Linked DNA regions of Drosophila melanogaster. The protein of the gene in region 1 interacts with the protein of each later gene in a pairwise test. Each region holds a gene or a part of one and is shown on either strand. Other genes may lie near its edges.

Region 1 (5,043 bases):
GCGCTTTCGCACACACAAAGAAACACACTTATTGCATATGTGAGTTTGAGTGCGGCCCATTCCCACTTGATTTCAAAGGTCATCTTCTAGCACTGTCACAAAGATTTCGAGTTCAATGGAATTCAGCAGTCCGTTCTTTTCGATTTGACCGTCGACGGAGAAGGAGCTTACATCTCTTGGTAAGCCATTTAAAATGTTGACAAATCTAGACATGATTTTCCCAAGTGCCTGGTATCAGCAAAGTGTTATTTTTTATGTTTATGTAAAGTACACGTTTCTGGTACTAAGTACTTCGAGAAAGTTACCTGCGTAGGATATCAAAACTATCACTGCAGTTTCAGGCTTTTCCCAACTACACCTATTAATACATATTTTAACGTCCTATTAAAGTTGTAGTTTGGAAAGTTTTGGTTTTGCATTAGAAATCGCCACTCAACTTGGTTTTTTCTAAAATTATTTAGGTCCGTTTTGCATATTTTAGGTGTTTTACAAAATCTGTGTAACATACTTAATATATTTTTAGAAAACTAACACCTAAGTGTACGGAATCAAAAAAAAAAAGACAAATATGTGATATTTAAGCAAATTTGCCATAATCTCAAAATAGGAAAAAGTCTGTTATGCTTATATTTGAGTGTTTTAAAAAATTAGAAAACCCAATTTTAATTATTTTTAGAAAAGACAAAATGTGATATTTATGCTTGTTTTTGTTTGTTTTACAAAATTGGCATAACCGTCTTTTACCTATTTTTAGAAAACTAACACCGAAGTGTACAAATTCAAAATGTGATATTTTTTTCACATTTGCCATAATCTCCTTAAAATAGTAAAGGCTGTTATGCTTATTTTTGTGTTTTTTACAAAACTGGCATTCCCGTCTTACTTATTTTCAGAAAACTTACACCAAAGTGCACAGATTGAAAAAAAAAACACAAAAATGTGATATTTCATCACTCATCAACTCAAAATAGTAAATCGAAGGGCAAAAAAATATGGTATTCTGTTTGCTATTATAAAAGTTCACGAGCTAAGCTAACGATTCATTAAAATATGTACATACATATTTAAGTGTTAAAAAAAAATGTGTATCTCGCGAATTCCTTCGATTTCCTCGCGTTGCCGCCATTTTGAATATTCTCTCTCCCGAAAGTTGTAGAGTAGAGCAAAAACTTTGGATGTTTTGAGAGTTCGAAGTTCATACTGTCATCCCGCTCTAAACCTCTGCATTCCATTGTGTCCCGTTTTGTGATTTTTCCTTTTCGGGATCTTCTTTGCGTTCTTTGCCCCCGGCATTCAAATTCCGAGAGTCGTCGCGAGTGGTCGTTTGAAACGTATTACCCGACATCGTTCTAGCCAACAATTTTCTGCTGCGGATGGGGGCAGTACTGTTTTTTTAACATTGAGTATTGCACTTTTCACAGCCCGAAAATGTTAGCAACTGCCTTATACTAACAATTAGCATTTTTAAATTATTAGAAATGTGAATTAAGTTTGAAGCGATTTGGTTCGTCACAAGGGCAATTCTGCATTTTTTAACTAGTATTGCACTTGAGACGGCCTGATTACTTTAAAACGAATCATTTTATGAGCAAAGTAATTAGTTTTGTTGTGTTTTTAAACTCCTTGCAATAGGCGGCAAGACGGTGAAAAATCGAAATTTCTAGATCATTTTTCGGACGGTATATGGGTTAATATTTCATTTGTCGAATATATTGCACATTCACCGGCCTGAAAATATCAAGAATTAACATCGAAAAGTGAAAAAAAAGTGTTTGCGAAAACATAAACATTTGCAGGGCGGGTCGTGTGTCAGTGTATTTATATCTTAGCTATATTGCACACTTCCCGGCCTTTAAATGTCCAATGTTTCAACATTTAAATCTGTGAAATCGTAAAATTATAAAAATCCAGTTGCGCTTTTCTCGGAAATCCGCAATCCGTTAGGTGTGAGCGAGATGACAGCTGTTGCGGTTCTTCCCCATTCCTCTTTCGCTTCGTCACAGACTTGCCAGATCGGCAAATTGTGTGCAAAGAGGAACGGGGAACTTGGTTAATTTCTTTTGCAAGTGGCAAGTGTTTAATTATTACAATTTGTGCTTAACTTAATATTGGCCGATGCTTGAGCTAAATATTCCCGTACAACTGGTGCAACAAAGTAATAATAAGGCATTTTGAGTTGAATTTAGCAAATTAAATTAGTGCGCTCGGCTGGTTGCCTTTATTTTGCACGTCATTTACCGTTTTTCAAGAGGGCCAGTAGTGTATGGCCAGTAAGTATGCACAAATAAATGTTTCTAATCCGTTTAATGATGGGATGGCCATTGGTTTGGAAAACTAACAAGTAGGAGAATCATGAATAATGCCCAAGCACGCGCGAAATCAAGAGGTGTGAAATTGGGTTCACGGGCTGCGCCTTGGGCTCTGGAAAATGCAGTAGATGACCAGCTGAAGAACGGTTTTAGTTTTGGCGGAAGTGTAAGTGTACCGTTAGTACATATAGCGAAATATATAGGGAAAATATCCATAACAGCTGCTGCATTTAGCTCATTTTAAACTATTACTTCCCTGTTCTCATCTGTGGCCGTTGAGAACGAACCGGCAGTTCGTGCTGACAGCGAGCGCAATTACATAAATGTTTGTTTTGACAACAATAGCGAGTGCAACAAAAACAACAACAGCAAACGCAACAAAAAAGCCGGAGACGAGATTGCATAATTGCTTGTAAGATTTTGCTCCCACAATTTCTCAGTTTTTGTCATGGGACAAAAAAAAAAATTATACAAACTTACCGGCTGATTGTTATCTCCGGCAGAGAGCGGAAAAGAGCGGTAGTGAGAGCGATCCTTTTACCGTATTTTACAGCCTCTCGGTTAAGCTAACTTGCTAAAGTCGCTCTCTTTTTCGCCGTGCGACAGAGATGCTCCGTGCGAGAGAGCGACTTACAGTGGGTCATTTTAATTGTGCTCTGCTTATCTAAATGTATTCAAGTATATCCATAAATTGTAATGTAGCACTTTCGTAATTGCCGGCTTTATTTATGCACTGTGAACAGCCAGGGGCTAGATGGCGCCTTAGCATTTTTCCCCACTGTCCACGCTCTAATGCCTAAGAGCGTTGGTTCACTAGCTAGTTTATAGCTAACTTTTGAAAACTCCGTTTGTTAAATAATTATTCAACACTATCTTATTCAAAATTCTTAAAATATTTTCTAAGGATTTTTTTTTTTACCAATGAAAGCATAATATAATAAAAATGCATATAGATTTATGTTGCAATAATTCGGATAAAACGGCACACTTATCTTCTTATATACATACGTACTTATTACATTTCTTTTGGGTAATTAACCAATTGGTTAACATTGAGTGCTTTCACTATAGTTTTGCACTCTCTGCCATATAAGAACGACTTCTGCTCTGAAACTGAGTCAGCATCTCTATACGCCGGCTCTCGATTCCCGAGGTAATGAAGTTGCAGCCGAGCTGAGCCTCAGTTGCCTGGCGACTAGCGAACAGCTTGGACGTGTGGTGTGCTCTTCGGTGTGGTTTCGAGTCTCGAGTTCCGAGTTTTCCCCATATTGCAGCCGTCAAGTAAGACCCGCTCCGAGTTTTGTGTGAATTTGTGTGATATGTGTGTGGTTCGCGGCTCGTTTCGTTTTTTATTTGCCGTTGTCATTGGTTTTTGATTTGTTGAGCGGTCGCCGCAAGCCACTTGACGGGCATTCTCTTCTGGCTTTGTTTCATAATAACTCGCTGTGTGTGTTTGCGATGCGGTACATATATATGTTATGGTACCTACATATATGAATTGTGTCTGTGAAAACGTCAAAAAGGCCAGGCCAAGAATACAAATAACAAATAAAATGTTGGCCCGCTTGTGGAGCATGTGCCGTTGCTTCGGCTTCGGTTCGTTCGAAATGCTTGTAATAATATGCCGTTTGTCTTTCCGTTTCTACCCCGACCAATTAGATCCGGAAATTTTGGAAAATGCTGCTCTCAATGCAAATGTGGCGCTCTCTGTGGCTGGCGGCCCTATTCTGCGGATTAGCCCAGGCCAAAGGTAAGCACTTTTTCTATCTATATACTATACGCAAAAATTTAAATATAAATATCAGAGTTAAGATCGGGGAGTGCAAGGCTAAAAAGCTTGAGAAGCTCCCATAGCGCTGCCATGATGTCATTCGCGTAATGAAACACAATAAGTATTTATTTTTTCTTTTCGATTTTGTTGAAAAACCGACAAAGTGACCTCGTTTTTGGTCGTGAAGTGCACATACACACACAATTTGTGGCCATTTGGAGTGATGGTCGAATAAAACGATCTTCGGTTTTGTCGGGGGCGTGCTGGAGCTTTTTTTTTGGTAAAAAAACGAATGACTGAGGCAACGAACTTGCGGCGACTTAATGAAGTTTGGCAGCGCGGCCCTGTCATGATTCACTCACTCGTTCTTACGCTTCCTGCCATATATTAATGCTAAATTGTATAAGGCATATATCCCTCGAAAGCCCTAACACATTAGTCATTAACTTGCCTGCCCCTGCAAGTTGCCTTTAACAGCCAAGACAACAAACGACTAAACAAACTATCAAGCGAGCGCGGCGAAAAAACAAAAGACCAAACAAGACACCTACACAAACACAAGTGCTGGGAAGGCAACATGACACGCCAAAACAAAAAAAAATAAGATATTACAAAGAAATAAAAAACAAAGCACAGTCCAGCCAACAAGATAATATCGACGAGAAAAATACTTAAACAAAGCGAAAAAAAGGGGCAGTACTCATAATAAAGCCCACACTCAACTGGTCAAGAATCGGCTGGGGTTGTCTTATTAAAAGGCAATCAGAAAGGAGAATTAACTGCAAAAAAATATTACGCGAGAAAAAATGAAGAATTAAAGGCGAAATACAGCCAAAACGGGCGACAATCGACGACTTGTGTAGGCGAACTGGTCCCGGGAATTAAGATGCAGCCTAAAAATACATAAGGCCGATACGAAAACATCTCTCTCGCGGGCTACAAACAAACAAATAAATATATATA
Region 2 (4,993 bases), on another chromosome or scaffold:
GTTAAAGTTTGAAATAATTTATTCAAAAATGTTTAACACTTTGGGGTTAACCAGTAGAATTGAAAAACAATGAGTCGCGAAATTGGGCGTATAATTTAGACGATTAGATGTTCCGAATTACCGAAACCGGCCAGCTGTAAATATGATATAATTAATATTCAATTTAATAATTTTGTTTATTATTGATATTTTGATATATTACTTTGAAAGTTCGATTGGCCATCTATCCAAAATTTGCAAAATGTCATTCATGAACCAAAGTGAAAACTCCAAGAATGAGATTTAGCACTGGAGGGAACAAAAGAACGTCGTTCCTCCGACTTTGGGGGATGGTTCGGGGGAGGGAACCTTCACTGGGTTTGGTAAAAATAACTCTTTTCGCCACGATCGGCTCTTCGTGAAATCCCCCTCGGTGACGCAGAGCAAAAAGCAAAAAGCAGTCCCACCAACCAACCAGTCAACCAGCTATCCAACCATCCAGCCAAGCAGCCGGCCAATCAAACCAGATAAAACCGAATTTAATTCGATTAAGGGGGTTATTCGCGTGCTCTTGCCCCCTTATTGTGGTTGCTGTCGGGCTTAACTTAACTTGACTTGGCTGATAGTAAAGATGTTACGAGTGTCTAAGTTTTAGTGCGCGAACGATTGTGAATGAGTGTGGAGAGTCGCGAGTATGGAATGAATTCGGTAAACAAACGAAACGAGCTAATTGCCGCAATCGCAAACGAATCGTATCCACGAACCAAGGTGCCAAGGTGCTAAACTCTTACCCGAATCAAAGCGACAAAATGGTGTTGTAGCAAGTGATAATGTTTTTATTTAGGACCACAGAAACGCAGCTCCTTCGACGCTAGTTTAGGTTCGTCTTCAGCTGTGACCCACAGAGCACATCACGTTTTATTCAACAGAAGTTAAACGAATATGAATGAGTGGGAAATATGCATATTTTAGTTTTATTTGTTAAGGCCTTTTTGCCTTTGAATAAAACGAAACAAAGATAAACAATAACAACTTTAATATTTGGGGAAAAACAAAATATATAAAATGTCAGTTTGATTGAATATCAACACACAATCATCTCTGCGTTTAAACTGTGTGGCTAAATGACAGTCATCTGAAATGGAACGATAATAATAAGATTGGATTCGCTAATCTCGTTTGCGTTGTCGACAACAAAAATGTTAATATAGAGCAAAATCTTTGATTCTACTACTTATCAAGTACGCTTATAAATTTGAAAAGTTGTTAAGGTTTGAAATATTTATGAAAAATAAATATAAAATATTTCTATAAAATTTGTTTTGTTTTTTACCCAAAATAAACAAAAAATATTCTCAGTGTAAAGTCCTTTTCCAGAACGAAAAAATGTTGTAATAATCCGATAAGTATTAGTTGGTTAAAATTTCTAAAGTTTCAAAATTTTACCATGAATATTTTGTGTAAGCTCTAAAATGAAGATTAAAATTTTAAGGAACTTTGAACAGAACGCATAGTATTTTCATATTATAAAATTCTTTACGTAAAATTAACCAATTAACTATCATAACAAAGAATTTTTCTTTCCCCTGTACTCTGCACCTCGAACTACTTTCTGTGTATGCGTTGCAACATTACGTATACGCCCGCTAGACCCTCTAAAGAGCGGGTATCCCGCCGTCGGACCTCCTGGCCAACGGTTCTTTCCCGAATCGCGCTGCTTTCCTCGTCGCTCCGCACAGAGAGCGCTCTTGTGGTGAGTTCGCCCCGAACACTTGTTGGAAACTCACCACGCGGGCGCCAAGTTGGTTCGAACTGAAGCAGCCGCTGCCAAATCCACAGCACAGCGGAAGCAGAGGAGCAGCTGACTGGCGCAAAAAGCCATAATAATCGGGCGGTAAACACTTGACAACGCTCAAACGCCGTGCGACAGTCGGCGCGATAAGTTGCAATTGCCCAGCCGCCACGGAGAAATCATCGGAGTGTTTCCCGTGAGATTCAGAAACATATATAAAAACGAACCCGAATTCAAATCCGAAACCGAACCCGAAACACCCAAAACAAGCCGACGTGGTCGATGCGTTCTGAATATCCGGACAATCGTCGTTGAGGGTCAAGCGCAGTCGGACGTGTAAACTCGGTCCTTCGATTCGCGCTCCTTGTGATATCATCCACTCCCAGTGGGGCGCTCTCATCCTGCCAAGTGTGTGAAATGCAAATGTGCTCGGCTCGTTAGCTAGCGTCAAGGTGCCCGTGCAATCGATAAGAATCTGTGTCCAGGGTCCACTGAGCAACCAAGTGCAGGACTCCCCAGAGCCACACCATGGCCGATCGCTTCCAGATCTCAAAGGTGAACGGCACCGCGAACGCCGGCTACGATGGCGAGGCTAGATCAGCTGAATCCGACCAGACGGACGCAGCCCACCCACTTCCGCCCACCAGCAACGAAAACCACCTGCATCCCAAGGCTTCGGGGGAGACGGGCGAGAACCGCCGCAGCTCCCGGCTCTCCTTCCGCGGATTCGGTAACTTCCTGCGCAAATCGGACGCCGAGCGCAAGTTTAGTCTCGCCCAGCTAACAAAGTAAGTTTAATTTGAATTTAACGCATTCCCGGCTAAAATGCGAGCGATTTGCTTTAAAAATGTGTCGGCACAGGTGGAAAAACCGGAACGTCGTTTCTAATCAATGGTATTTTGTTGTTAATTGAAGTTATCGGAAAATATATATATATATATATTCTTCGGTTGGACTCTCGTCGTTAATAATATTGTTTTTGAATTTGAATATTGATATTATCAACGATTTATCCAGTTAGGATTTTTCGCTAAAGGAATGGAAACCCTATGTCATAGTATGCAATGGTTTTACAACTATTCATATTTTGGGGAATTTTGTAGCTCAATTAATTTGTATTTCACATTATATTTTACTTACAGGTTCTCATCTTCGTGTTTTTACCTAAAATAATAATAGAACTTGAATTAAAAAAACATTTTTACGCTTTGATCTTATAGTCGACATCTGATGGAAGTTTTGTTTAAGATGTAAATTAAGAGAAAATATAAAAGACACAATCTCTTCTGTTTTCTCAGCGGTTAGCGTGTTGAAAATAAATTTTCATTTTCAACATCCGATTTTACAAGTTGTTGGATTTTTGATAATTGCTTCGATTGAGGGGATTTACTCTCAAGATAAAAGTGTTGCGATTCAGCTGATACCTTTTAGGAGCTTGAGATACATTATTTCCATCCATTAGTGCGCACGTGGTGTCTACACTCGCGTCTGAAACAATTTAGGAATAATACAACAATTAATTAGAGTTTTCCCAAAGCAAATTAATCATTAATTTTACTCTCCGTAATGAGTTTCAATTGAGGTGCGAACACATGTTTAAACTCAGTCTGTTTGCAGTGCACAATAAATAAATGCCATTGTACTGGGCCTTAAAACAGACAATAAAACACGTCAAAATTGTGTGATATGTGAATGAAAAGCGAAACGAAAACATTCCGTTTGCATAACCGAAACGAAGGTTACATTATGCCAATTTATTGTAATCACGTTTGGCACATAAACCCAAAATAATGACAGAACGAAAGGCTCAACAAGAGCAACATTGTCCGAAGTTGGATGCACTTAATGTCCGATTGATGCACTCCACTTTCACTTGGTTCAATCTCAGTTTATACTAGTATATATAAATACATGATTGTAGAATATTAGGGTAGGTTCACCTAATATGTTTCACTTGCTATTAAAAGCTAATTGTGTGATTAAATAGGAATGGCAAATATAAATACCCGTTTGAAAACATACAGTTCATGTGAATGATTTCAAGTACATGACGAACATTCCGACATGAAGCACTTTCAAAAAAAGGTCACAGATCACTTCCAAATTAACTTGCTTCTGGATTAATTCGAATTTTTTCCACTTCTGATTATTCAAATTTGCCACATGACAGTTGGCTGTTGGCCCAAATTAACGATTTCGACCCAGACCCCGTCGAAAGCCCCCGAATTAATTGCTGCAATTGTTCCACTTTCGATAATACGCAATCTCGTGCTCAAATTAAATGCAATAAAAAGCTGCCAAAGATCTGTCCGAAAATTGGGAGACCTCCGGATTAAGAATGACAGCCAATGATTTGTTTTCCCGGAAAATTTGCACACGGCAAGCAAGTTACATCATCAGCCCGCCAAAAAATAATATAATAACTTATCTAAATTCTGAGCACGTCGGGTATATTAGCCGTTTTTGGCACAAGGATCGCCATCGGAGCTAGCGATCACTTGCATTCCGCGAGTTCCGGAGCTCGCAGCTCAGATGGCTTTCTCCAAAAGGATGAGCGTGTCAACAAATAAATTTACGACTGTCGTTCGGAGAGTGCGATCGCAAATGAGTTCAATTGATCGAACTCTGCCCGGCTCCAATTGTGTTGAACTAACTCGGACCAGCTGATTCCCAACGAAACCGGCCAGCAATCAATGCCCCTCGATGGCCTGGACTGGACCCCCATATACGTCATGAACGAGCATCTAGAGAATATTTACATGCTATAGTACATAAACATAGTCGTGAGGAATGTATGTGTATCTTAGCCGAATGTATCTGTATCTCCGTCGTCTGGCAAATGAATTGGAAGTGAAAATGGAAATGGAATCGAAGGAAAAGCCACAAGACGTCCGATTCTCTTTGCTGAATGCTTGCAATTTATTTAGTAGCACAATGAAAAACGCCCTCCACAGATTCTGTCTACAATTAATAAACACTCATAAGTTATTCACAAGCCGAGCGGCGATCTAAAAGCAATGGGGATCGAATACATAGAATAAGAAAGTGAGGATTACACTTTATTGTAATTTATCAGAGGTGCTAGTGTATCTCTAGAGAATATTCAGACTTTCCATCTTAATCAGGATTTTCAAGGCATCAAGACGTCTTGATGAACTGGGTTAGTGGGTAATCAGCAAATTTACCGATTACAATATGTCACTTCAAACAGAGGCATTATTC
Region 3 (4,820 bases), on another chromosome or scaffold:
CGGAAAGTGAAAGACTTTGATTGGAATTCTCATAAGAATGTGAAACAGGTTTCGCTCTCATAACGGTATCTGCATACACATACACACACACACACACAGATGAGCCGTAATAGCCAGGCAAAAACAAGAAAAAGCCGGAAAAAGAAAGTAAAAAGGCAGAAAATGTTTAGTTTATATTTCTAGAGCGAGAAAGAGAGAGAGAGAGATATGGGGACGTAGAGAGCGACTGTTAAGTAATACATTTGCAGAGAAAGCGCGCGCAAAAGACACAAGAAAAAAAAACACATTTGCATGTATTGTGTGCTACTTATTGATGGCGTTATTTTCTGGTGTTTTTCGCACAATTGCCGCAGTTTCTGAACGCTGCTTTTGACATTGGAAGAGTTCAAGCGGCTTTTTTTTTACGAATTCGATTTAAACTCATTTTCGATCTGCGAAGGTCAACAGCAAAACAAAATGAAGCCGACTGCACGCACACCAAGGCAATATTTACACAGATACATTCACCACAGTTGTATGTTGCTTGTGTTGCTCCTTAAATATGTTACATATTTAACATATATGATATGTTGTGACAATCAAATAGTACTTGCAATCTTTACCTTGGTTGAGCCGCTCGATTTTACAACTGTTATTTATCACACTTTATTTTCAGTTTAAAATGCACTTTTTCGCTTCCTTTTCACTTTTGATTGCTACTGACATCAACTTGACGTTCTGCTAGTGACTGTATGTTAGCTCCTAACAGCTTCGGCAATTTATCGATTAGTGCTGTTAACGCTACAGCTACCTAACAGAATTAAAGAAATATATTAAATTTAACAAAAATACTGAATACAGCTAGCTGGTCATACTCCTGTTTTACATTTTATTTAATTTACGAATACGTTTAATTTAAATTTTGTTGATATATAATTTAATAAATTTTTTGGTCTCAAAACGTCTTAGCTAACCCCACACAAAACCACTTCGAGATTATTCTGAGGTTCTACGAAAAAAAACTTGTTATATATACAGAGATATATGTATTTTAAAACCAAATAAAAATGAACCTGTATATAATAATACCATAAGATAGCTACTTACTCTACGAGCTGTGAGCCTTGAGTGCCGGTGCTCATATAACTTTCTTAAGCTTGCTTGATATAATTTTCATATTGCATATCTAAAAAAAAATAAAAAAATAATTATAAAATTTTTGTAAAAAGTTCAGTAAAAACAGTTTAATTCACTTATTACCTGGTATTTCCTTCTCTGCAAATATAAACGAATTTTAGATATTTTCAAATTTGTTTGAGTTGGTGTGTTCTGTTTATTATGAAAACATGGATACATTTTTAACAAGTGCTCAAAATATTATTTTATTTACTAAATATATCAATATATAAAATAAATTGTATTTTCTATTAGAAGACTAGTAATAAAAATGACAAAGTTATAATAATACCATTGGAAATAATTACCAAATTGCAATTTTTGAAATTGCAAAGTGTGACTGCACGAATACTTGTTGAATATCAACTGCATGAATTAAATTTCGCTTTCCGAATCAACGAAACATCAAATTTGGTCAAACATGAGCAAAACATGTCATATAATATTAACAATATATTCTTTAAGAAATTTAACAATTTTAAATAAATTATGAGTGACCCTGTGTTGTGTAAAATATGTGGTATTTATTCAGTATTTTTGGGTTTTTTTTTCTGTTTTTCGGCAGCACTGCGCGGCGGTCACGCCTTTGTATTGTATTTATATTCATTCGTTAAGCGACGGTCGTCCAAAAAGGCAGAAAATGTGGAAATTCATTGATGAACAGTGGTGAAAAGTGCGTGCAGTCATTCGCTTCAATTTGTCGTGGCCGATTCCTTTTCGCAACCAATTTTTCTTATTTTTTTTCTTGTCAGTAACAAGTTGTCGGTCAATAAAAGTGTCAGTTTATTTTCTGCATAATAACGGTTACTAAAGCCTAAATTTTTTGTTTGTGACTTCTTTTTTTTTAAACAAATGCGCCGACGCGCCAGAAGTTTATATTCTGTTTTTATGTTTTCCGCTTAAAACGAAACGTGACTAGTTTGTTTTAAATTGGTGTGCAACGAAAACAAGAAGAAGCGGATGAAGAGGGTGGAGAGGAGAGGAAGCAGAAGAAAAAGAGCAACAGTCAAGTGAATTAGTTTTTTTTTCGTCCATGCCGTCGCTGCCAACGTCGACGCCGTTGCGCCGCCGCATTTAGTCATTGCATCAGTGTGTCCGAGTGTGTGTGTGGCAGAGAGAGCGAGTGGGAGAGCAAGGGTGGAGTAAAAGTAAATGCGTGCAATTAGCATTTAATGCAATCACCATTAACCGCCTACTATTGTAATTTATATTACCCTAGTACCTGTAATTTACACATACACCTACACACACACCTGCTCAGCTAGTGGTAGTGCAAATATGAAGTGCAAAAAGCGGCGGCAACAACAATTGTCTGTTAATTGCTGGATATTTCGTAATGCAGCAACAATAACAACGGTAGCAAACTGTAATGCCACAGTGAAGACTCGCTAATCGAAACTTTGTCGGGCATATTAACCAAATTCGTTATATGTTTGCATTGAATTTACATTTCATATATTAACTTCTAAATCTCGTTAGATTTACATGCTCGCGTGTTCAATAGCAGGGAGGGCCCACTGTACTTGTAGTGAAGCGCCGTTACAGCCACAAATGCGTGTGAGTGTGATTATGTATGCATGTGTGTCTGCATCAAATCACACACTTGCAGCGCTCATGCACACGCACTTGTACTTGTGCGTGGCTCACATTTCCATAGCCAGCCGCTTCCCCCTCCACGATCAGTGTTGCTCTTCACCTGCAGCTTTCGCTTCTGCTTCTTCTTCTCCCGCACGCATGTGCCGTTACAAATTCGCTTGGACATAAATCATTTTTCGTGCATTAGCCGGCGATTGTTAATGGAAATCGTATTAGAAAACAACAATTACAATGGGCCCACATCTGCCGCTCTCGCTCTCGATCGCGCTCATCATTGCTCTCCCGTTTCCCGTTACAGAGAGTGCAATACAAGTGCAATATTAATTAAGTAATAGAGGAAACGTAATATGCGTGTGCAATACAAACAAATGACCATGTAACGGCCAACAGAAATGTATATGCAATACAAACGTACATACATGTGTAAAACAATAAGCGCAAAACACCGCCCATCCCCGCTTGAAAAGTAAAACCAGCAATCTGCGAAACCTTCGACCATCATTGGGTTTTACTGTACTTGAAAATGGACTGTGCCACGCGAAAACAACAACAATTACGGGCACATCATCAGCAGCAACAAATACAAATACAAACACATGGACGAAAGCGGCAGCAATTACAAAAACAACGCCACAACCACCACCACTACTACCAAAATTCACAACAACAACAAAAACATTTCGTGTGGCTTGTTGTTGGCATTTTGACAATTTTTTTGGCTCAGGTGAGTGAGAAAAAAAAATGAAGGAAAAGAAACAACAACAAAACATAGTGATAAAGATAAAGCGACAGGTAAACCCGCAAAGTTAGTTACCTCTATGATTTGGGGGAAATTCGTTGGGAAAATTCTGAGGACTCCTAATGGATGGCGCAGGGTTGTCAAAAATATTCATATTTTAACTAATTACAATGCAGATTTCATAGATTGGCCAGCAACACAGACAATTTGCTAATTATTTTGAAATGTTTTTTTCTGTTTTTATTGATTCTTTTTTTTTCGAAAATTACAAGCCAACTATTTTCCACATTTAGTGGCAGAAAATGTCTTAACTGGGTTTTTGATTCGCTGAGTGCGTTTTAGGAACTCGTTTGGCCGGTTCTAGTTGTGATTTTGGCTGGGTGTTATGTTATTTTAATATGAACTCGCTCAACCGCTCACTAAAATTGAACTAAAATTACGATAAATCCAGATTTCATATAAAATCGAATAGTGAGATACAAATATTTAATGTGTTCAATATTTCAAACCAGGTTTACTTGTTATCTGATCAAACTTCGGTAGTCAAACTATTGATTGCATAGCTCGAAATCTTTAAAGGCAATTTAGAAGCGCAAATTAGAAGTTTAGGCCCAAGTCAATTTGAAATGACACACACAGGTGATGAATCCGGTGATTAAATTTGATTTTGTTGGGTGATTTGTGGGCTTATTCCCGTGATTATTCCTTGTTTTATTGCCTGAGTTTTTTTTTTTACCTCGTTCACAAAACTCGTTTCATTTCGTTTCGTTTTGCATTGTTGTCGCATTGTTTCAGCGCAAACGAAAGACAATAAAAACAAAATCCCAACCATCGCAACGCAACAAGTAAAAAGTTAAAAAAAAAAAAAAAATGATGAAAACACTAAAAAGCGAACGCAAGTTAAAATCAAGGTTGGTTCTGATGACGCTGTCCATCGCAACTTCCTCACTCTGAAAAAATTTCAATACGCTTATCGAGCGATTCCCCGAGATAGCCCAGCATAGTCGTAAACTGTTTCTAAGCTTGAAATAATAAAAAATAAAAAAAACTATAGAAATCAAAGCCTTAATAAATAGATGGCAAAACTTGTATCTTTGCTGCTGCAGTTTGTGTATTCTTTGTATCTCAGATGATCACAACAACAATAAAGTTGTCCCTGATTTCGCAGTTTCTTTGGCCACAATAACTTGAATGCACTGCCGTCTTAGTTTTGTTTTTTTTTTTTCTTTCCACATGCTTCATATTCATAACTCACGTGTTTCTGGCACTGTGACTTTGGCTTTCATTTTATCTGGGCATTGCCGCGATTGCGGATCGCAGGTCATTACGT

What was found.
Region 2: the proteins of qsm (region 1) and NKCC interact in a two-hybrid assay, tested with the Drosophila melanogaster proteins (one large-scale study listed by BioGRID).
Region 3: the proteins of qsm (region 1) and Ptp4E interact in a two-hybrid assay, tested with the Drosophila melanogaster proteins (one large-scale study listed by BioGRID).

What each region holds. Positions count from the first base shown.
Region 1 is NT_033778.4:20,580,577-20,585,619, reverse strand, and holds the start of qsm (quasimodo), read left to right. Parts: upstream 1-2,028; 5' UTR 2,029-2,270; intron 2,271-3,487; exon of another isoform or gene 3,488-3,590; intron 3,591-3,968; 5' UTR 3,969-3,986; coding exon 3,987-4,059; intron 4,060-5,043.
Region 2 is NT_033777.3:5,499,603-5,504,595, reverse strand, and holds the start of NKCC (sodium potassium chloride cotransporter), read left to right. Parts: upstream 1-1,893; 5' UTR 1,894-2,299; coding exon 2,300-2,559; intron 2,560-4,993.
Region 3 is NC_004354.4:4,937,373-4,942,192, forward strand, and holds the start of Ptp4E (protein tyrosine phosphatase 4E), read left to right. Parts: upstream 1-1,755; 5' UTR 1,756-1,828; exon of another isoform or gene 1,829-1,932; intron 1,933-2,064; exon of another isoform or gene 2,065-2,160; intron 2,161-2,208; exon of another isoform or gene 2,209-2,303; intron 2,304-3,049; 5' UTR 3,050-3,274; coding exon 3,275-3,475; intron 3,476-4,820.